Xenopus tropicalis: one gene and its partners. The protein of the gene in region 1 purifies or fractionates together with the protein of each later gene. This does not show direct contact. Links are inferred from orthologs where the notes say so. Each region holds a gene or a part of one and is shown in the gene's direction. Other genes may lie near its edges. The genes, in order: dnaja2, pld2, nudc and llgl1.

What was found.
Region 2: the proteins of dnaja2 (region 1) and pld2 purify together in Homo sapiens (affinity purification with mass spectrometry; 3 studies listed by BioGRID and IntAct, with this or other methods). This does not show direct contact. The link is inferred for Xenopus tropicalis from reciprocal best matches to the Homo sapiens genes DNAJA2 and PLD2.
Region 3: the proteins of dnaja2 (region 1) and nudc purify together in Homo sapiens (affinity purification with mass spectrometry; 4 studies listed by BioGRID and IntAct, with this or other methods). This does not show direct contact. The link is inferred for Xenopus tropicalis from reciprocal best matches to the Homo sapiens genes DNAJA2 and NUDC.
Region 4: the proteins of dnaja2 (region 1) and llgl1 purify together in Homo sapiens (co-immunoprecipitation; 3 studies listed by BioGRID and IntAct, with this or other methods). This does not show direct contact. The link is inferred for Xenopus tropicalis from reciprocal best matches to the Homo sapiens genes DNAJA2 and LLGL1.

The regions. Positions count from the first base shown.
Region 1 is NC_030680.2:73,214,380-73,219,926, reverse strand, and holds the start of dnaja2 (dnaJ homolog subfamily A member 2), read left to right. Parts: upstream 1-2,088; 5' UTR 2,089-2,154; coding exon 2,155-2,232; intron 2,233-5,547. UniProt on the Homo sapiens protein: Co-chaperone of Hsc70. Stimulates ATP hydrolysis and the folding of unfolded proteins mediated by HSPA1A/B (in vitro).
Region 2 is NC_030679.2:148,025,941-148,030,792, reverse strand, and holds the end of pld2 (phospholipase D2), read left to right. Parts: intron 1-2,203; coding exon 2,204-2,428; 3' UTR 2,429-3,932; downstream 3,933-4,852.
Region 3 is NC_030678.2:77,784,320-77,789,705, forward strand, and holds the start of nudc (nuclear migration protein nudC), read left to right. Parts: upstream 1-2,114; 5' UTR 2,115-2,126; coding exon 2,127-2,207; intron 2,208-4,562; coding exon 4,563-4,640; intron 4,641-5,386. Other genes in the region: gpatch3 (G patch domain-containing protein 3), read right to left, coding at 1,396-1,705. UniProt on the Homo sapiens protein: Plays a role in neurogenesis and neuronal migration. Necessary for correct formation of mitotic spindles and chromosome separation during mitosis. Necessary for cytokinesis and cell proliferation.
Region 4 is NC_030685.2:16,024,719-16,030,395, reverse strand, and holds the start of llgl1 (lethal(2) giant larvae protein homolog 1), read left to right. Parts: upstream 1-2,170; 5' UTR 2,171-2,315; coding exon 2,316-2,396; intron 2,397-5,677. UniProt on the Homo sapiens protein: Cortical cytoskeleton protein found in a complex involved in maintaining cell polarity and epithelial integrity. Involved in the regulation of mitotic spindle orientation, proliferation, differentiation and tissue organization of neuroepithelial cells.

The DNA.
Region 1 (5,547 bases):
AAATTTGCGGATCCGAACGTTCGTAAACGGCGCAAAAACCTTTCTGGCGTTTTAAACCTTCAGTGTATGATTTTTGACTCAAAGGCACTCGACAGATCCAACCTGGCCAAAATATAGTCACGATAACAAATCTTGAATGAATTCCGAAATGGTCGTAGTCTTTGTGAAAAATACAACTTTTCGTGGAAGTTAACGAAAACCACGAAAAAGTTGTGGAATTTAAACTTAATTATTGTGGGCATTACAAAAGTTCTATAACTTAGAAAAATTATGATTTTTTTCTCCAAAAAAAAAATTGTTGTTTAATGAATGGGCCCCTTGGTTTTAACAGCTCCTTTAAAGGGGAAGGAAAGGCTAAGTCACTTGGGGGTGCTAAAATGTTAAGCACCCCCAAGTGACTTGAATCGCTTACCTCGTACCCAGGGCTGGTGCCCCTGTTAGGAGAAAACCGCACCAGCCCGGGGCACCTGGGGCAATGCGCTTCCTCCTTCGTTTCGCTGCGACTCTGAGTCCGGCGCATGCGCAGTAGAGTGAAAAAGCCGACTTCTCTGTTAAAGTTCGGCTTTTCACTCTACTGCGCATGCGTGCTCAGCAAAGAAGGAAGGAGGAAGCGATCGCTGCTACCCCGGGCTGGTGCTGTTCTCTCCATACAGGGGCAGCAGCCCAGGGTAGAAGGTAAGTGATACAAGTCACTTGGGGGTGCCTAACATTTTGGCACCCCCAAGCGACTTAGCTTTTCCTTCTCGTTTAAGGGCGAAAAAGCTATTTAGTAGCAGCTACTTGTCATGGCTACAAAACGCCAGAAAATAACCTGCCATAGACAATACTGAGAATTGCCCCTGCTAAAACCTACGTAAAGACAATTATCAGTAAATTATTAGCATTGTCTATTTTTGTAGCAGTGGCAAGTAGCTCTGTGTGTCTTCATCCTAAAGTTTTTTGGAATCAGGAAGTACTGAGGGAAACTGGCTTCATAGTCTTATTTATCTTTGTGGTTAGTAAGTGAGAAGCTACAAACTGGTGAGCACTTTATGTGCAATACTGCACTACTAGCGAGATGCCACTAAGCAACACCTTTGGGTGGTTCGCAATCAGATGGCCCCGGGCAGGACAGGAGTTACAACATACAGATCATGCTTGATTTCAGAAAAGGTAGCAACCGTAGCTAAGGGTAAGTTCTAAGGTTGGCATACTGTGCTGTTTCTGTGATGCCCCTAGCAACATGAGTGGCTCACAGATCTTCCTGGATGTTAGGCAACTCTGGGGCAAAAACAACCCTTCAGCTCCATTACAATTACAGGCTGCTGCTACTAATAAAGGCAATAAACTGCACCACTGGTGTTAATGTGACCCCCTAGCAACCAACTGATCATTAGCTTTATATCAATTTGGTGCAAGTAAAGGTTAATGACTAATTACTGATTGGGTGCTGTAGCAGGTATGTGGTACACTGGTAAAATGGTAATAGCAAAACAATTTAAATACAACACAATGCTATATAATTTACACTCACGCCCAACCGCTAATTTAGGTTTAAGGGTGTAGACACTAAAAAATAATTTCTGGACATGTCTATAAAAAAATCTTACATAAAAAGTCCAATTAGGGACCGCCCCTGTACGTGACGTAGCAATGGAAAGATTGAGAATATTTTTATTTATATATTGGCAGTGGTTTTAGAACCACCACCGTAAAGTTATAAGGAACCAACTCCTGCTAACATTCACAGCCTTCACACTACCAGCCTGGGCTAAAGTACAAAAAATAAGAGAAAATTGCAACTAGTAAAAATTAACGTTACCATAGCAACACATTTATTGCGAGGCCTTTAGTCTTTCAGTTGCGCTTATTACGCTTTATACTGATACTGTAGCTGCCTTATACTATTCTGCGGCGTTACAAAGAAGCCTAATGTAAGTGGCAAGACCTACTTCCTAAGAAAGCTTTATCACTTCTCAGGTATGTTTCTAATACGCCATAGGTAAAGGGGCGGGTTAGTGACGACACGAGGCGGGGTCACGTGTGAGTGACGCTGCCGCACAGCGTTTCCGGTCTCTCTTTTTCAGTTCTTGTCCCCCACGGAGGGCTCTCAGCTTCTTCCGTCACCTCGTTATCTGTAGGCCCTCCGCCGCCGTTTTCTTCCAGCACCCCGCCATGTCCAACGTCGCGGACACAAAGCTGTACGACATCCTTGGGGTGGCCCCCGGTGCCAGCGAGAACGACTTAAAGAAGGTATGTGCGTGTGGCTGCTTGAAGAGCACACCGGCATTTTGAGGCCCTAGCGCTTTTGTGGAATAAACCCACAGAGGTGAGGGGTGGGAGGCAGGGGGAATTGGGATTGAAGAGATGGGGGTCAACGCAGTGTTGAAAAGGAGACCCCGTACTCGGCCCCTCCCCCATATTGTTATTTCTTAGCGGAGTCTTGTTACATGCAGGGCCAAGGCTGTATGTGATTAGCCTGTTGTAAATTGTAACCCGGACGCATTATCTGGCAGGAAGATAACATCCCCCATAATCAGTAGGGCAGCAGTGTCAAAAACGCACCTCTAAGATGAAATTTATCTAGGGATTTGGGAATTGCAGTTCAAGGACAACTGGGTGCCTAGACTTGCCGCCACCCTTAACTGTTTAACCATAATAGTATCCATCATCATCATCATCAAGCAGGTTCCATCTTGAAAACAGTTGCAGATTTTCTTGTTTTCTTTCTTGGATGTCCAGATTTCAGTGCAAAGATGTAGGCTCTTTTTATCTTTAGCAATGAATATCCCTCTCACTTTCTTAAGAATTCTACTCAAGGCATTGGACTGAAGTTATTATATGATAAAAAAAAATGAACTTTGCTAGATATTCATAACAGCCTTCTTGGGGCAGATATACCTGGGTTCCTCATAGTTTCAAAAAAACCACATTGGTTTTGGGTAGTACAGGTATGGGATCCCTTATCCGGAAACCCGATATCCAGAAAGCTCCGAATTAGGGAAAGCCTGTCTCCCATAGACTCCATTTTAATCAAATAATTCTGATTTTTAAAATTGATTTCCTTTTTCTCTGTAAAAATAAAACGGTGCTTTGTATTTGATCTCAACTAAGATATAATTACTCCTTACTGTATGTAAAATAATCATATTGGGTTTAATTAATGTTTTATTGATTTCTTAGTAGACTTAAGGTATGGAGATCCAAATTACGTAAAGACCCCTTATCCGGAATACCCTTGGTCCCGAGCATTCTGGATAATGGGTCCCATACCTGTAGTTTGGAAATCAGTGTTTGCCCACTGAGAGATGTCATAAACAAGTTACAGATCTGTTAGATCATGGTTATATTATATTACATTCTTTGTGGTAAATAATGTGTTAATTTAATTGCCATAGCACTGTTTTTACAGCAGTAAAGTTGGCCATACACTGGCAGATTTAAGATGCAAATTTGGGTCGTTCAGACCAATTCAGCAGTTCTGCCTTTGTGCCCACCCCCGACAGGCCTACCCAACCCAATATCTGGCCTAAAATTGGTCAGGTATTGAAAGGGCAGACATGATTTTCCCATCGGATCAGGGACCACATTGGCTCATTGATGCAATCCTCGATCCAACAGGTTCACTTCCCCTCGTTGTAATTCAATGGCCTTTAGATTACTCAATATCCCCCGCTTTAGGTAGGCATATAGGGGTTGTCCACCTTTACATTTTTTAGTATGTGGAACAGAGTGCAATTCTGAAACAATTTGCAATTAGTCTTCATTTTTTTTATACTATTTTTGTATTTTTAATTATGTAGTTTCATATTCAGCAGTGCCCAATTTTGGAATTTTAGCAACTATATGGTTGCTAGGGTCCAAATTACCCTTGCAGCCAGGCAGTGATTTGAATGAGAAACTGGAATATGAATAGGAGTGGGTCTGAATATGAAGATAAGCAATAAATAATTGTAAATTGTAGCCTCACAGCGCAATCGTTTATTGGCTTTTAGGGTCAGTGACCCCCTTTGTTAAAGAGTCAGAAAAGGAAAGCAAATAATACAAAAAGATAAAAAATGAGAACCAGTTTAAAAGTTACTAAGAACTGCCCATTCTATAACATACTAACCCCCATATGTAATTAAAGGCACTAAGCTTGCATATGTGCACTAACCCATAGCAACCAATAGGATGTTTGTTTTTAAACAGTTGACCAGTTAACGCTACCTGCCAATTGGTCGCAATGGGTTACTGCACCTGGGCCAACTTAGTGCCTTTTAACCCCATAAAAGTTAACTTAGAGTTTGCTTTTTGCCCCCCCAACTGTGGGACAACTAATGTATGAGTAATTATGAACCTAAGACCTCAAAGGCATTATTTGATCATAAGCAAATGTTGTTAATATTCTGGTAACTGTCAAATTTAACCTGGTTACATCCTTTAGTTATTTGTTGCATTTTTCTCCCATCTCCAAAAACTTGATCCCGTGGAACCGTGGCTCTTTTCTTTCTCCTTTTCTAATACTCTCAGATTAATGCTACCTGAAACTTGACTGTTATATATTCTGATATCCACTGTATAAAAATCAAAATTCAAATAAAAATTATTGAAAAGAAAAGTTAACTTAAAGTTAAACCACCCCTTTAAAGGGGTTGATAACAAGTTTAATGAATAAGGATTGTGCTGGGCATATGAAAAATTATTATTTATATAGCACCGTCAATTCGTGCAGCGCTTTACAGAATGAGGTACATAAGACAAAGCAGTTAACATTTACTTATAGAAAATTCACAAAAAATGGTTTACAGCAGAGATCCCCAACCTTTTATACCCGTAGTCCCCAATCTTTTATACCCGTGAACCACATTTAAATGGAATAAGTGTTGGAGAGCAACACAAGCATGGAAAATGTTCCTAGGTGTGCCAATAAGAACTATAATTGCCTACTCAATAGCCCCTATGTGGGCTGGCAGCCTATAGAAGGCTCTGTTTGGCATTATACTTGGTTTTTATGCAACCAAAACATGCCTCCAACCCAGGAATTCAAAATTAAGCACCTGTTTTGTGGCCCCTGGGAGCAACATCCAAGGGGTTGGGGGGGCAACATGTTTCTCACGAACCACTGGTTTACATTTGGATAAGGATTGGAGGCTACAGGGGGAGGGCCCTGCTCACAAGTAAAAGAAAATTGCATTAGCTGTGCATGGGTAATCCCTCCTGTATAATGAACTCATGCTTATATGTTAACCATAACTGTTACACCAAAGGGCTAAATAGGGTTTGTGCTCTTGTAATTAAATGATCTACCTCACAAGAACCAAACATCAGATAATATATCTTAGATGATTTAGCTCCACGACTTTTACAAAATAGTGTTACCCATATGGGGCTATCAAGACTTCAAGTATCAATGTCAAAAATGTGTGGGTGTTTTAAGTTTGTATATTTACGGTAATTGAATAGTTGAATATTTGAGTGCCAAGAATATAGCTATTTCTTGACAAAAAATATTTTTTGAGCAGCTTTCATTCTATATTCATGTAGAGCCATGAATTACATTTGACTTCTTTATTTACCTGTGTAAGA
Region 2 (4,852 bases), on another chromosome or scaffold:
TAGCTCTTTTGACTAGCAGTTTCCAGGTGGAAATAATGGGATGGGAGTGCCCTATCTAATTCATAGCAATAGTATTGAAATGTATTTCTGATTGGCTTTATATGAACCAGTTGGTCCGTGATGCCTAGTATATAGGTAATTGTTGATAGAATGTGAAGGAACCCCATTGGATGAGTTTGAGTTGTTATCTAGTAGGATTAGGAAATCATGAGAGTTTTTGGTGGCTTCCTCTCAGCCATTTTATGGATTTAGTTGAGCCATTGGTCTTTTGCTATGTTGATTGGTTTTACAGTATATAGTCTGAAGACCAAATTTGGTGTATTAGGAGTATTTAAGATTGAATGGTATTCGATTTCTGGATTTAGGGTGAATAACTGGGCTTTAAAGGCATATATATGGTGGTAGTGGGGTGGGGGTTGTTGGTGAGTATTGCGTATTTGGGTTCAAGATTGTAGCAGATATAGGTATTTGAAAATTTGATGGGGCAAGAAAATGGAGGATGAATATGAGTCTAAGTGTGGCTTGCTATGCACTATAGGGCATTAATAGAGCAAAGTTTTGGTAAATCCACAAGTTAATGATATGGGACATTGGATAAGCTCTCAACTGATTCCATCCTCAGGGCACGATGAAGTACGTTTTAATTGTAGGGATTTGGGTGGAAGCAGGATTATATATATAGTACAATTGTGATGCCAAGTAATGATTATGGAGACTTGGAAATGCTAAACCTCCATTTTATATGATGCTGTTAATATTCTCCAAGCCTTCAGGGATATCAGGATACTTTTTTAAGTGCAGTGCCATATGTCAGACCTTTAATGTGTCTTATTTGTGTGGCTAATGGGTATAATGCGCTGGCAAAGGGTACAGGGACAGAGGGTAACCCTGTCTTATTCCTCTGGTAAGGGAAAACGGAGAAGTAGTTCCGTTCACTAGGTCTTCCTAGAGGTGACTCCATTCCAACGAATTAGAGAATTGAGAGCACATTTCTAGAGCTTTTTTTTTCTGAGGAACAAGTGTAGGTTGATGAATAGTCTGCAAAGATGTTTGATGAGCAGCCAGACATAAATCCAGATTGGTCAGGGTGAATTATATCTTGCACCAATTGCTGCAGTCTACTGGCTAGAATTTGAGAGATGATAGCGACTTATTAACGGTATGGAGACAGATGTTGGTAACAACAGAGTATCCTGTGTTTGCTGGAGGGTTTCGGAGAGATATGTTTGGTTAGGGCAGGGATCCCCAACCTTTTGTACTTGTGAGCCACACTCAGATGTAAAAAGTGTGGGTGAGAGCCACGCAAGCATGAAAAAAAGTTATTTTGAAAAGTCAAATAAGGGCTGTGATTGGCTATTGGGTAGCCCCATGTGGGCTGCTGGCCTGCAAGAGGCTCTGCTTGGAGGAAAACTGAGTCTCTGGGCTTCCAAAATTTGCCCCCAAGCTAGAAATTTTAAAATGGGCACCTACTTTGGGAGCAACATCAAAGGGGGTGGTGAGCAATATGTTGCCCCAGAGCCACTGGTTGGGGATCACTGGGTTAGGGTCTTATACCAGTGTGAGGGTAGGCAATAAGAGCCAGGTGTTTTGTTCGATAGTAAGGAACCAGTGGTGGTGACAATCTCTTCTTTTGAAATTTGGCAATACAAAAATGATAATATAACTGGAACTGGTATGGTGTCTAAAAAGTGGTTTAGTTGTGAGTCGACGTGTGTAGCTATAGATGTGTAATGTATACAATAGAATTTGTCAGGTTCTTGGGCTGTTGGATGGCAACCTTGCAGTTGCTATAGCTGTAGAGGTTGTGTCTTGGCTAAGAAGGCTTGAAGTTGCGTTGAGTTTCATAACATTGAGCATTCTTGGTTTGGGTGGTCTCCTCTCTTATTCTTATTACGAGATTGAGGCAATTTAAAGGAAAACTATACCCCCAGAATGAATACGTAACCAACAGAGAGTTTATATTATGTTAAGTGGCCTATTAAAGAATCTCCCCAAACTGGAATATATATATCAGTAAATATTGCCCTTTAGCATCTTTTCCCTTGAGCCGCCATTTTGCGATGAGCTGTGTGCTCCCTCAGAGTTATTCCATTGGCCTATAAGGATCCCGTTATGCAAGCTGTGGGCCAGTAAAATGATAAGATAAAGACAAGCTCCTCTTCTGGAACTGCCTAATTTCCTTTTGTGGCTTTTCCTCAACTAGATGTTCCGGTGCCTCCCCGCCGACGCCGTGACCAGTAACCGTACCCTGCAGGAGTACACTGCCGTAAAGAACCTGGCAGCGCTAAACCCTGGCCTAGCTCGGGAGCAACTAACTGGCATTAGGGGCCACCTGGTGGAATGCCCCCTACAGTTCCTGTCTGGGGAGAATCTCCTTCCCCCTCTAAGCAGCAAGGAGGGCCTGATATCCTCTCAGGTTTGGACGTGAGCCCTGGGCACGGCACCTTGGACTAATGCACTTTGTTCTTTAGACTCACCTTAGGGTGCTGGACTAGTAACAAGAGCAGCACCCATGTTACTCGCTAAACTGCACAGAGTATTGCACTAGCCTTTACAGCTCTCAGATACTCCACTGATTGCCACCATGTCCGTTACTGTCTGCCACTAATCCCTGATACACACCCTGTATTAATCCCAGTCCCACACACACAGTATCCTGTATTAATCCCAGTTTTACTCACACAATATCCTTTGCTAATTACAGTGCAACATGCAAACTATTCTGCACTAATTCCAGCTCTACATATGCAGTATCCTGTCCTAATCCCAGTCCTACTCACAGTATCCTGTCCCAATCCCAGTCCTACTCACAGTATCCTGTCCTAATCCCAGTCCTACTTAAAGTATCCGGTCCTAATCCCAGTCCTACTCACAGTATCCTGTCCTAATCCCAGTCCTACTTACAGTATCCTGTCCTAATCCCAGTCCTACTCACAGTATCCTGTCATAATCCCAGTCCCATACACCATATCCTGTCCTAATCCCAGTCCTACTCACGGTATCTTGTGCTACTCCCAGTCCTACTCACAGTATCTTGTGCTACTCCCAGTCCTACACACAGTATCTTGTGCTACTCCCAGTCCTACATACAGTATCCTGTGCTACTCCCAGTCCTTTTCACAGTATCCTGTCCCAATCCCAGTCCTACTCACAGTATCTTGTGCTACTCCCAGCCCTACACACAGTACCCTGTGCTACTGCCAGCCCTACACACAGTATCCTGTGCTACTCCCAGCCCTACACACAGTATCCTGTGCTACTCCCAGCCCTACACACAGTATCCTGTGCTACTCCCAGCCCTACACACAGTATCCTGTGCTACTCCCAGCCCTACACACAGTATCCTGTGCTACTCCCAGTCCTACACAGTATCTGTTCCTAATCCCAGTCCTACGCACACTATCCTGTATTATTCCCGGCTCTACACACTCCATATAACGTACTAACCCCAGCTCTACTAATATTAACTCTACATAGACTGTATCCTGTACTAATACCAGTTGTAGATATGCACAATTCAACCATTTTAAGATTTAGCCGAATACTGAATTCAACACACAAGCAAAATCACATAATCGTTTAAGAAGTCATGTGATCACTAGGGTTGAATTTGGTTCAACCAGGGCCTCGGATTCGTCCAAAGCATTGTGTGCTGTTCTGCACCCACAACGTACGTGGCACATCCTGTACTCGTTGATAGGCGCTATACACTAATACTGTTCTATTGCAGAACCATGCGCGTAGCATTGTCCGCTCGTTTCAGCGCTGCATGATCATTTTATTTATGGACTATGCAAGTATATAGAGTTCATTTTGTCTTCCATGGTAGGGGCTCCGGCTGCTACTGCACGGGGTTTGCACCACTCTCTCCGGGGGGAAAACAAAACAAACAGGGGAACCTTTGTAGTCAATAAACTTTGTACTTCTTTTTATGTCGTTGTTTTCCTTTTTTTTCTAAATTCAAAAAAATCGAATTTTAACATTTTTCCAAATGAGAAAAAAACTCTAATATCCCAAATGTGCGCAAATCTCGATCACTAAAAAAACAACTCGAACGGAATTTTGAAAAGACGTCTCCCATTGGCTTTTACATGAACTCACCAGCTTTTAGACTGCGATTTTTTTTTATTTAGGTTTTTGCTCCTAAGAAATCTTGAATATTCAGTTTTTCGGAAATTCGAATTCACAATTTTAAAAAGTAAAAATTGCAGTAAAAAGTCAGATTTGAATGTTTTTACTGTATATCTGCCCATAGAAGCTAGGAACCAACTTTTTAGGGTTTGGCCGAACCCACTCGATGGATTTGGGCGAATCCCGAACCGAATTCTAATTAATATACGGTAATTAGGATCGGAAGGGGTTACGCGCGTTGAAATTTTTTTTCACCTGACCATTTAACCCTTTCCTGATGCTAATTAGCATATGCAAATTTATGCTAATTCAGATTCAATTCGGCCGAAACTGAATCTTTAAAAAAAGCCTGGATTTGGCCGAATAAGGATAAATTCAACTTTCAGAATTTATTATTTTGTTCTAAAAAACATGCAGAACTACCAAACAAAACAACCTTAAATGAGAGAATTTATATCAAAATGCTACTGTTTTCGAAATGATTCGATACCCTTCTCCAACCAATGGCAATTTAGTCCATCATTTTTGAGTACTGGATACTCTACAAAAGATTTGCTGAGTACCGAACCTACACAACATAAAGTATAAATGGGGACATCCATTATAGCTTATAATCTACAGCAGGGGTGGCCAGACTTTTTCGTGCGACGATCGACTTTGGCTCCTCCCCGCGTATGTACACATACCCAATAAAAGCGTCGCACTTCCACATTTGCAGGCT
Region 3 (5,386 bases), on another chromosome or scaffold:
AGCCAAATCCATGCACCTGGCCCAACCAAATCCAAATGCTTAAAATCATGTAACTTTTTCAAACACAGAAGTTGAACATTTTTTTATCTTTTAACCCTTCTGTGGCCTAATTTGCATATGGTTCGGTATTCGGCTATATCTTTTACGAAGAATTTGAGGTTTGGCTGAATCCCAAAATACTAGACTCTGTGCATCCCTAGTATATTATCAGGTGGTCCTTTGTGATTATCTTTACCTCCTGATATCAGTAATACTAAACACCTCCTGATATCAGTTGTGATAGAAAAATTGTTGTCTATTTTGCTCTCCTAGAGAACACTCTTGAAAGTCACTTAAAAAGCTGGTCATACACGTACCGATGATATTGCACAAAACCTTCTTTCATACAATATTTAGTGCGTGTATGGCGGCTTGACGAGGCGACCGATATCGCAAAAGGCTGATTAAAAGTTATTGATTGTGCGCCATTGAAGGCGACCGATAACGGAAAATTTACGTTCAGGGCTGAATCGGCAGAAGGAAGTAGAATTTCTATTGTTTTTACCATATCTGATGATTCAGTCCTGAAGGTCTGTGGAGAGTGGGAAAGAACTTTCGTGCGATCATTGAAATTGCTACGTGTATGGCCACCTTTAGAGATTAGTCGCCCACGGTAACGAAGATTTGTTGCGGGGCGACTAATCTCCCCGTATGTCACTGCCCTTAGGGTGAGATATGGATAAATAAAACTTACTTGCTATCTAAATATGCCTGGAACAGTGGCTGAATGCCTGATGCACTGATATTTTAATTTATCTAAAACATTTTTATGAGCAGGGCCCTGACCAAAGGTTATACCTCCAAGGAGTCTTGAACTGAAAAAAAAAATCTGACAACCTTTCACTCATGTGTGATGTGTTCTGCAGGAGCGCTGCCAGAACAGAGACGACTGGTTCATCCCATGGCAAAGCTGCCAGTCTACATTTAAAATAGCTTCTGCATGGGCAGATTCAAAAACTGTAATGCCAATGACAACATTTAAAAAATCGAAAAATCACCAAGAAATGACACATATGGAAGATAGTAAAACTTAAAGAGGGTACACAGTCCTACACCCACCACAAAATATACTCTAGGGGGCAGAATTAACAATGAAACACATTCATTTGTGCCAGAAAATAGTGAGTGAATTTTAGTCAAGTCTGGGAAAAAAAAAGACAAGTCTCCTTGTGGAAATATGACAATGTTTCACAAAAGTACTGTATGTTATTACAGTGATAATGGTTGACTTGAGAGCGAGTGAAAGCAAAAGTCAACACAATGGTATGAAAACAGACATTTCCAATCGTTCAATATCACCCAGTTGCTCAGGCCCCTAAATCAATCACGGGGGTACCCTAACTTGTTTATTTGTACCTTCCATCGGACCAACACGAACTTTCCGAACCAAGCATCTACCAGGGACTTGATTTCCTTCCTTATCCAGCCACGGTTTCATATTGTACATTTCCAGGAAACTGCGGGATCGCTCCGGTTTGACGGTAACCGGACAACAGCAAGTACCCGAATTCTCTCCCCGCCGCTCTGGTCGGTGCCTGAAATGAAAACACACAAAGCCATCGCTCTCTGTGAACTGACTGAAATAGTGGCGAAGCTGGGCAGAGCGGAACGAACGAGGAATTCCATACACAACAAAAACAACTGAAGCACCACTTGGATCCGTCATCTTGGCAGTGGGGTAGTTCCGGTCTTTACTTTCCACCATCTTGCTACAGGAAATTACAGTCCATAACGCCCCGCCATCTTAGAAGAGGAAAACTACACCTAGTTTACCGGCACGTCACCACGTGGAGTGGTTAAAAACTACAATGGACTTAGTATATAATCGGCAAAAAGTAACATATTACAATAAATTATAAAACGTGTCCCAACTCTGGTATTCGGTACATGTTGTTTGTTGCGCATGCTCGACTGGTGCCCTATCTCTAAAACGCCATATATTCCAGAACCATCGTGTAGCTTGATTAATGTTGCTATAGCAACTCTAGCAGTGTAGATTTCTTTTCGCTGATTGGTTATAAGCTCCTGGAAGGGGCGGGGTTAGCGTAAGACCCGGTAGCAGTGCAGCATCTGGCGAACTGAGCAGCATGGCGGCCTCCGGAGAGGATGAACGATTTGATGCAATGTTGTTGGCTATGGCCCAGCAACATGAAGGAGGAGTGCAAGAGGTGAGAAATTATTTAAGGCAATGGTAATCCCTGTGTTTTAATTTATATTTTTCAAAATCACAGTTGTTACAGAAGTCAAAATATGTTCAAGTCGCTTTAAATGCTGCAAAAGTTGGCCAAGGCATAACTATTGCGTGCGTTTTTTTTCTTTTAAATGTAGCTTTCCTGCACACCCTTCATGTTGTAGGGCTTAAATATTGCTGTTCCTTAGGGAAATATACCAGAAATTGGATTTGATCTTACTCACTGAAGAGGAAGTCTCAAAACTGTTGTCTTCCTCTGACCTTACTACCTGCCTGCTTGATCCCATTCCTACCAAACTTCTACGTAATGCCAACCCCTGTCTTATCAAAGCCTTAACTCATCTATTCAATCTCTCACTCTTTACTGGAATCTTTCCCTCCCAACTGAAACATGCACTTGTAACCCCTATTCTGAAAAAACCCTCCCTTGATCCCTTCAATCCTACTAACCTCCGACCTATCTCTCTGCTCCCATTCATCTCCAAACTGCTTGAGCGCCTAGTCTACAACCGACTGACGCTATTCCTCTCTGACAATAACCTCCTGGATCCCCTACAATCTGGTTTTAGATAACAACACTCCACCGAAACTGCTCTAACCCAACGAACAAATTACCTCCTATCGGCTAAAGCCAAAGAACACTACTCGCTACTAATACTTCTCGATCTCTCTGCTGCTTTTGACACTGTGGATCACCCTCTTCTCCTCCAGACTCTCCGCTCTCTTGGCCTTCGTGACACAGCCTTATCCTGGTTTTCATCTTATCTCTCAGATCGATCCTTCAGTGTCTCTTACAATGGGGAATCATCTTCTCCCTTGCCTCTTTCTGTCGGGGTTCCCCAAGGCTCTGTCCTGGGCCCCTTACTATTTTCTCTCTATACCTCCTCACTTGGCAAATTAATCAATTCTTGTGGCTTTCAGTACCACCTCTCTTTCCTCTCCTGATCTCAACCCAGAGCTTCTAACTCGCGTCTCTTCCTGCCTGTCCGCTTGGATGTCCAAACATTACCTTAAATTAAACCTCTCTAAGACTGAATTGGTTCTCTTTCCCCCATCCAACGCCCACATTGTTCCCGAGGTATCTGTAACGGTTAACAATTCTACCATCACCCCATCTTCCCAGGCCCGGTGCCTTGGGGTTATCCTTGATTCTGCCCTCTCCTTCACTCCTCATATCCAATCACTTACCAAATCATGTCACTTTCACCTAAGAAATATTTCCAAAATACGATCATTTATCACCCAAGATGCTGCCAAAATTCTTATTCACTCTCTTATAATATCTCGCCTGGACTACTGTAACTCCCTGTTAATTGGCCTTCCCCTCCAAAGACTGTCCCCACTCCAGTCCATAATGAATACTGCTGCCAGGCTAATACACCTCTCCAATCGCTCCTTCTCTGCCATGCCAATCCCTGCACTTTCCCACTTTTTTTTTGCTCCTACAATAGAACTGCTGACCATTGCAATGAGATTCTACCAGGTTTTCCAGCCTCTTCCTTGGCCCATTTACAGAAAATAATCTCCTTTGATGTGCAGCGCAGTTGCTGATTCTGCTCCTGCCACTAACACGCTCTGCACTTACCTCCTTGGTGTCTGAGAGGGTCAATGGGGTGCTACATCGCTAGTGCAGAGATCGCTATTGTTCTCTCTGCATTAGAAAAAACAAATTTCCCTTTTAATAAACAAGATATTTGGCTGTTAAACATAATAGAGGCTGCTTTTTTAGTGTAAATCTTTCGCTTTAGAAGGAATGTAGCAACTTTAGAAAGATACAGGATATCCCTGACATAGGCCCTGTTATTTGTTGTTCATGTTGTGTTTCACCAACATCTGGGTATTTTTGTATGCTGTATATAGTTCATGGCTGAGTATGGTGTGCAAACTCATATATTCAATGGCACGCAAGTTAAGGCCCCCATACACAGGCCGATAGAAGCTGCCGATATCGGTCCCTTGGACAGACTCTGCAGCTTATCTGCCTGTGTAGGGGCAGAAACGAGCGGGCTGGCCGACCGATATCTGGCCTGAAATTGGGCAGATATCGACCGGCCGGGTTAGAAAATCCAGTCAGATCGGGGACCGCATCGGCTCGTTGATGCGGTCCCCGAACCGACTGCCCCATTGCCGCCTACATAATTATTATTATTATTTTTTTTTAACTTCAAGCTCCCCAATATCGCCCACCCGTGGGGATATCGGGGGAAGATCCGCTCGCTTGGCGATCTCGCCAAGCGAGCGGATCTTACCGTGTATGGGGACCTTTAGATTTTCAAATCATCTTCCTTTATTGCAGATCTAATTTCTTTGTTTTTTTTCTCTCCCTCTAAAGTTGGTAAACACATTCTTCAGTTTTCTGAGGCGCAAGACTGACTTCTTTGTTGGAGGAGAAAATGCTGCAGCTGAAAAGGTGAGAAAGAGCTGAACAGTTGTTCACCAAATTTTTGCAGAAATGCATTATATTCGTGTTGAAAGCAAGGTTACAAAAACAGATGAAGCCAGCTAATATGCTCTTTCAATATACAGTATGTTGGCTAACTCATCAATACACAGCATGTTAACTAGTTCAGTCTGTTCTTCATTAGGTTTCTTATCTGGCCTCCACATCTATGATTACATGTATACTCCTTGTTGACCTATAATTTTTTTCCAGATACTCAAGTTTGATACATTGTCATTTGTTTGATATACGATGTGACTAGTTAGTTGTTCCCTGGAGAATGTTTTTCTATGTATTCTTTTTTTTTTTTTTTTTCTAATTTCTGTTATAATCAGTTTGTTAGAACAGTTTCTCCACAGGGGGCAAACCTACATTATGGTTTGTTGATAAATGTGGCAGCAGATTCTCAGCAACACAATAATGTTGTGAGAAAAGCTGTTGATAAACAGGCTGATGCGAGTTGCCTACTCCAAATTGAGCTGAAAGCCTGTTGGTCTATGTATGGGCCATAACCATGGCCGGCCTGTTGTCTATTGGGCAGACTAGAAAATCCAAGGACAGCATTGGGCTTTTAATTTGATTGTTGTCACTGTGGGACAGTTGAATGGATAAACCCAACTGACCAAGTGGTCAGTTTCAGCAAAGGGTTTCCAAAATTTGTTTTTTCTCTACTTACATGTTTCTTTCCCTTTAATGCAGAGATATACTGTGTGAAT
Region 4 (5,677 bases), on another chromosome or scaffold:
CCATTTTGCCTTACTTTACATACTATCCTGCAGCTGCAGCCAGTCCCAGAAAGGAGAGAAATCTTTCCATTCAGGGAGGTTCAGGTATTCTCCCCAGTTTGCAGCCCCAGAGAGTCCAAGAGGAATAGAGAGTAGATTACTAACCTGCCCAGAGCCTGCCCTGCTCATTGTCACTTACCTGCGTGCCGGGCCAGCTCCAGTACTGACAGTTTATAGGGCAGGTGTGTTCATTTGCCTCATAACTATGTCCCTGGCTCCCCCCTGCCCATATACTTGGCCTCGGTACCTCCAGTGTATATACATTATCCAACCTATGGCCCTGTTGGCCCCACACTGGGCCCCAATCACAAGTTAAACTGTCTGTGAGCACGAAACTTAAAAATATGAGTTACAGAGACAAGGTGATTTATTTGTCAGTTATCTCTCAGATACTCTGCGCTCTCCTCTCAGCCATCAGTTCTGTCTTTGTTATACTTGTTTTTCTGGAATCCGCTCCCACCATAAGTCATCTGAGTGCCCAGACTATTGTCTGTCTCCCATCGTGACCTGGCACTGGGGAATATGTAATGTCTAACGGTCGCTGCTGAGTAACAGGGCAGGGAGTCTGATTGCAGGTACTCCCCAAATATCCCACAAAATTGTCTCCCATTAGGAGAATAGCTTCTAATATCCTTATCATTTACAGTAGGGGGTACATTATCCCTTATAATACATGAGTGATACTCAGAGTTCCCTGTATAACTCAGCCTGCAGCCTTGTGCCTTTATATGGGCACAGAACCCCTCAGTGACTGCTAATATCCTTATCATTTACAGTAGGGGGTACATTATCCCTTATAATATATGAGTGATACTCAGAGTTCCCTGTATAACTCAGCCTGCAGCCTTGTGCCTTTATATGGGCACAGAACCCCTCAGTGACTGCTAATATCCTTATCATTTACAGTAGGGGGTACATTATCCCTTATAATACATGAGTGATACTCAGAGTTCCCTGTATAACTCAGCCTGCAGCCTTGTGCCTTTATATGGGCACAGAACCCCTCAGTGACTGCTAATATCCTTATCATTTACAGTAGGGGGTACATTATCCCATATAATACATGAGTGATACTCAGAGTTCCCTGTATAACTCAGCCTGCAGCCTTGTGCCTTTATATGGGCACAGAACCCCTCAGTGACTGCTAATATCCTTATCATTTACAGTAGGGGGTACATTATCCCTTATAATACATGAGTGATACTCGGAGTTCCCTGTATAACTCAGCCTGCAGCCTTGTGCCTTTATATGGGCACAGAACCCCTCAGTGACTGCTAATATCCTTATCATTTACAGTAGGGGGTACATTATCCCTTATAATACATGAGTGATACTCAGAGTTCCCTGTATAACTCAGCCTGCAGCCTTGTGCCTTTATATGGGCACAGAACCCCTCAGTGACTGCTAATATCCTTATCATTTACAGTAGGGGGTACTTTATCCCTTATAATACATGGGTGATACTCAGAGTTCCCTGTATAACTCAGCCTGCAGCCTTGTGCCTTTATATGGGCACAGAACCCCTCAGTGACTGCTAATATCCTTATCATTTACAGTAGGGGGTACATTATCCCTTATAATACATGAGTGATACTCAGAGTTCCCTGTATAACTCAGCCTGCAGCCTTGTGCCTTTATATGGGCACAGAACCCCTCAGTGACTGCTAATATCCTTATCATTTACAGTAGGGGGTACAGATATGGTAACTATTGTGCTTGTACAAGGAAACCTTCCTGTATTTAACAAAGCAGCATTTCTTCCACACTTTATGGTAGAGGTTCAAGCCCTCTATAACAGAGTACAGAGACGCAATGGTCCTTTCTGAAACCCATTGTTAACATCATTCACCTCATAAATCTGAGCTTTCACAGAAACCGATTGGGATAAGAAAGCCTAGCTAAGCAAAGGAACCAATTGCACAGTGTAAATAAAAGATATTCGGATAAATTCACAAAATCCAGCCTTGATTATCCAAAAGTTAAAAAAGTTGAAAGAAAACTACAAACGTAAGAATTTTCCCACAAAGAACTACAACTCCCAGCCTCCCCTGCTCCATTCCGCGCAGGCGCGATGCCTGTACTGATGCTCTTAAAGAAAAGGGGCAAAGCGACGCTCCCTGGAGAGTTCTGTGATTGGTCGATAAGAACGCCAATCAAGCGGCGGGCTGGATCAAGTTCCCCAGCCGCCTGTGTGTGTGTGCGCTAACTGTGGCTGCAGAGAGGGGAGGCTGCTGCTGTACGGGCAGCGGCTGCGTCAGCTCCGGGCCGCCGGCAACATGATGAAGTTTAGGTTCAGGCGGCAGGGCCATGACCCGCAGAGGGAGAAGATAAAGCAGGAACTGTTTGCCTTCAACAAGGTGGGTGTTGTTGTGCGGGGAGCCCTAGTGCGGCTGTGTGCTTTGTGCTGCACTGGCTCTGTATGGGGCTCAATTATTAACCCCCCCCCGTGTAGTACTTCATGGTATCTCCCTTCCCCTAGGTCTATGGGACCCCGTTTTCCCCTCTGTGTATGGAACCCCCTCCCCATTTACTGGGGATATTACTCTCTGTATGTCCCCTATACACCCCCTAATTACTGTAGGTATTACTCTGTATGTACCCTATACACCCCCTAATTACTGTAGGTATTACTCTGTATGTCCCCTATACACCCCCTAATTACTGTAGGTATTACTCTGTATGTACCCCTATACACCCCCTAATTACTGTAGGTATTACTCTGTATGTACCCTATACACCCCCTAATTACTGTAGGTATTACTCTGTATGTCCCCTATACACCCCCTAATTACTGGTGTTATTACTCTGTATGTCCCCTATACACCCCCTAATTACTGTAGGTATTACTCTCTGTATGTCCCCTATACACCCCCTAATTACTGTAGGTATTACTCTGTATGTCCCCTATACACCCCCTAATTACTGTAGGTATTACTCTGTATGTACCCTATACACCCCCTAATTACTGTAGGTATTACTCTGTATGTCCCCTATACACCCCCTAATTACTGTAGGTATTACTCTGTATGTCCCCTATACACCCCCTAATTACTGTAGGTATTACTCTGTATGTAGCCTATACACCCCCTAATTACTGGTGTTATTACTCTGTATGTACCCCTATACACCCCCTAATTACTGGTGTTATTACTCTGTATGTACCCTATACACCCCCTAATTACTGGTGTTATTACTCTGTATGTCCCCTATACACCCCCTAATTACTGGTGTTATTACTCTGTATGTCCCCTATACACCCCCTAATTACTGTAGGTATTACTCTCTGTATGTCCCCTATACACCCCCTAATTACTGTAGGTATTACTCTCTGTATGTCCCCTATACACCCCCTAATTACTGGTGTTATTACTCTGTATGTCCCCTATACACCCCCTAATTACTGGAGTTATTACTCTATATGGCACCCCCATCTTCAGTTACTGGGAATATTACTCTGTATGTTGCCTATGCACCCCCTAATTACTGGGGATATTACTCTCTGTATGTTGCCTATGCACCCCCTAATTATTGGGGATATTATTCTGTGTATGGCACCCCCTTCCCAATTACTGGGGATATTACTCTGTCTGTAGCCTGTGCACCCCCTAATTACTGGAGTTATTACTTTACTTTGTGTATGGCACCCCCTCCCCAATTACTGTGGATATTACTCTCTGTATGAAGCCTATGTGCCCCTAATTACTGGGGATATTACTCTCTGTATTTAGCCTATGTGCCCCTAATTACTGGGGATATTACTCTGTATGAAGCCTATGTGCCCCTAATTACTGTGGATATTACTCTGTATGAAGCCTATGTGCCCCTAATTACTGGAGATATTACTCTCTGTATGAAGCCTATGCGCCCCTAATTACTGGGGATATTACTCTCTGTATGAAGCCTATGCGCCCCTAATTACTGGGGATATTACTCTCTGTATGAAGCCTATGTGCCCCTAATTACTGGGGATATTACTCTCTGTATGAAGCCTATGCGCCCCTAATTACTGGGGATATTACTCTCTGTATGAAGCCTATGCGCCCCTAATTACTGAAGTTATTACTCTGTATGGCACCCCCTTACCAATTCCTGGGGGTGTTACATGCTGGTTGCTGAGAACTAAAATCCAGTCATGTACAGGAATTGCTTGTGAGCAGCTCCCCAATACTGTGAGCGTTTGTACTTTCCCAATCCTTCTATGGTGACACCCCAATCAGATGTGCATTGGCTGCTGTTATGTTAGGGCCCCCCCTTTAGTGCCGGATTCTGATGTGTACGAGGCGCTCCTCTCTTCTGTATCAGCCCCATGTTGTGTGTGTGACTCCCCCCTCCTTTAGCAGTGGAATGGAAAAGAGACCCCTCCGCTATTGCTGAAGTATGTGCAGGAGATCCAGTTAGTACTGATAAGTAACTGTCTGTGATGATATTGTGTAACTAGTATTTACACAAGGCACCAACTAATTCCGACGGGGTGGATACATGAAACAGATAACCTTTGTATAACAACTAATAATGGGGGCAGTGAGGGCCATGCTCATTAGGGCTCTTTCCACCTTGTTACCCCCAGATACCTCATACCTAGTGTCGTACCCCCAACCACCTTAATATGTAAGCCTGATACAACCCAAACTTAGAGCAGTGATGGGTAACAATTGTAATTTCAGGGGCCTCTTATGTGGCCCCCAAAAGGGCTTGAACATAATTGGAGTTGAAAGCTGTATCTGCACTGCTGGTCTCCACTGTTGAAACAATGTAGCAAGCACCAGCTGATTTACAGACAAGTTTATTTATGGGTTAATACAAACTTTTTTGTTGTTGTTGTGAAATACGTGCAGGGTTGATTGGGGGGAGGAGTCTCATGGAGCTGCAAATGCTTCCGCAGCCCCATAGGGGTTAATGCTAACTTCATTCACTGTTGTGTTTTGTACTCACTGGGGAAAAACAAAAGGCATTGTGTGCTTGCACTAATGCGTCACATATTACCCTCTACTAATAGTGACTTGCACAGTGCCCTCTTCCATGAATGGATACCCCCCCTGCTGTGTTGTTATTCACTGGGCTGGCTCCTATTGTCCCCCTCTTATCCTGTATAACCCATTGCTATAGTTGGGTCAGTATGGTGCTTTTATTTGCCCCCTCTTTCAGGCTGTATGGGGGGGGGGACGACTTTGCATCTTCTGCACAGTACAGTAGATTATTTTAAAGGGACAGTAAAGTTGGCCGATTGTAGCTGCTGATATCGCTCCCTTTGGATCTATTCGGCAGTTTATCGGCCCGTGGAGGAGCATGCCCGACCGTAATCGGCCCTGAAATCGGGCAGATATCGATCGGGCAGGTTAAAAGATTTAGTTGAATCCGACTAACCGACTGCCCCATTGCCGCCATTATAATTTGATCGAATTAGCCTACATGTTCCCCGGTATCACCCACCCATAGGTGGGAATATCGGGTGAAGATCTGCTTGCTTGGCGACCTCACCAAGCGAGCGGATCTTCACGTGTATGGACACCTTAACGCCAAGAATGAAAGTGTTTAAAAGTAATTAAAATATAATGTACAGCTGCTCTGCACTGGTAAAACTGGTCTGTTTGCTACAGGAACCCTACTATAGTTTATATAAACACAGCTGCTGTGTAGC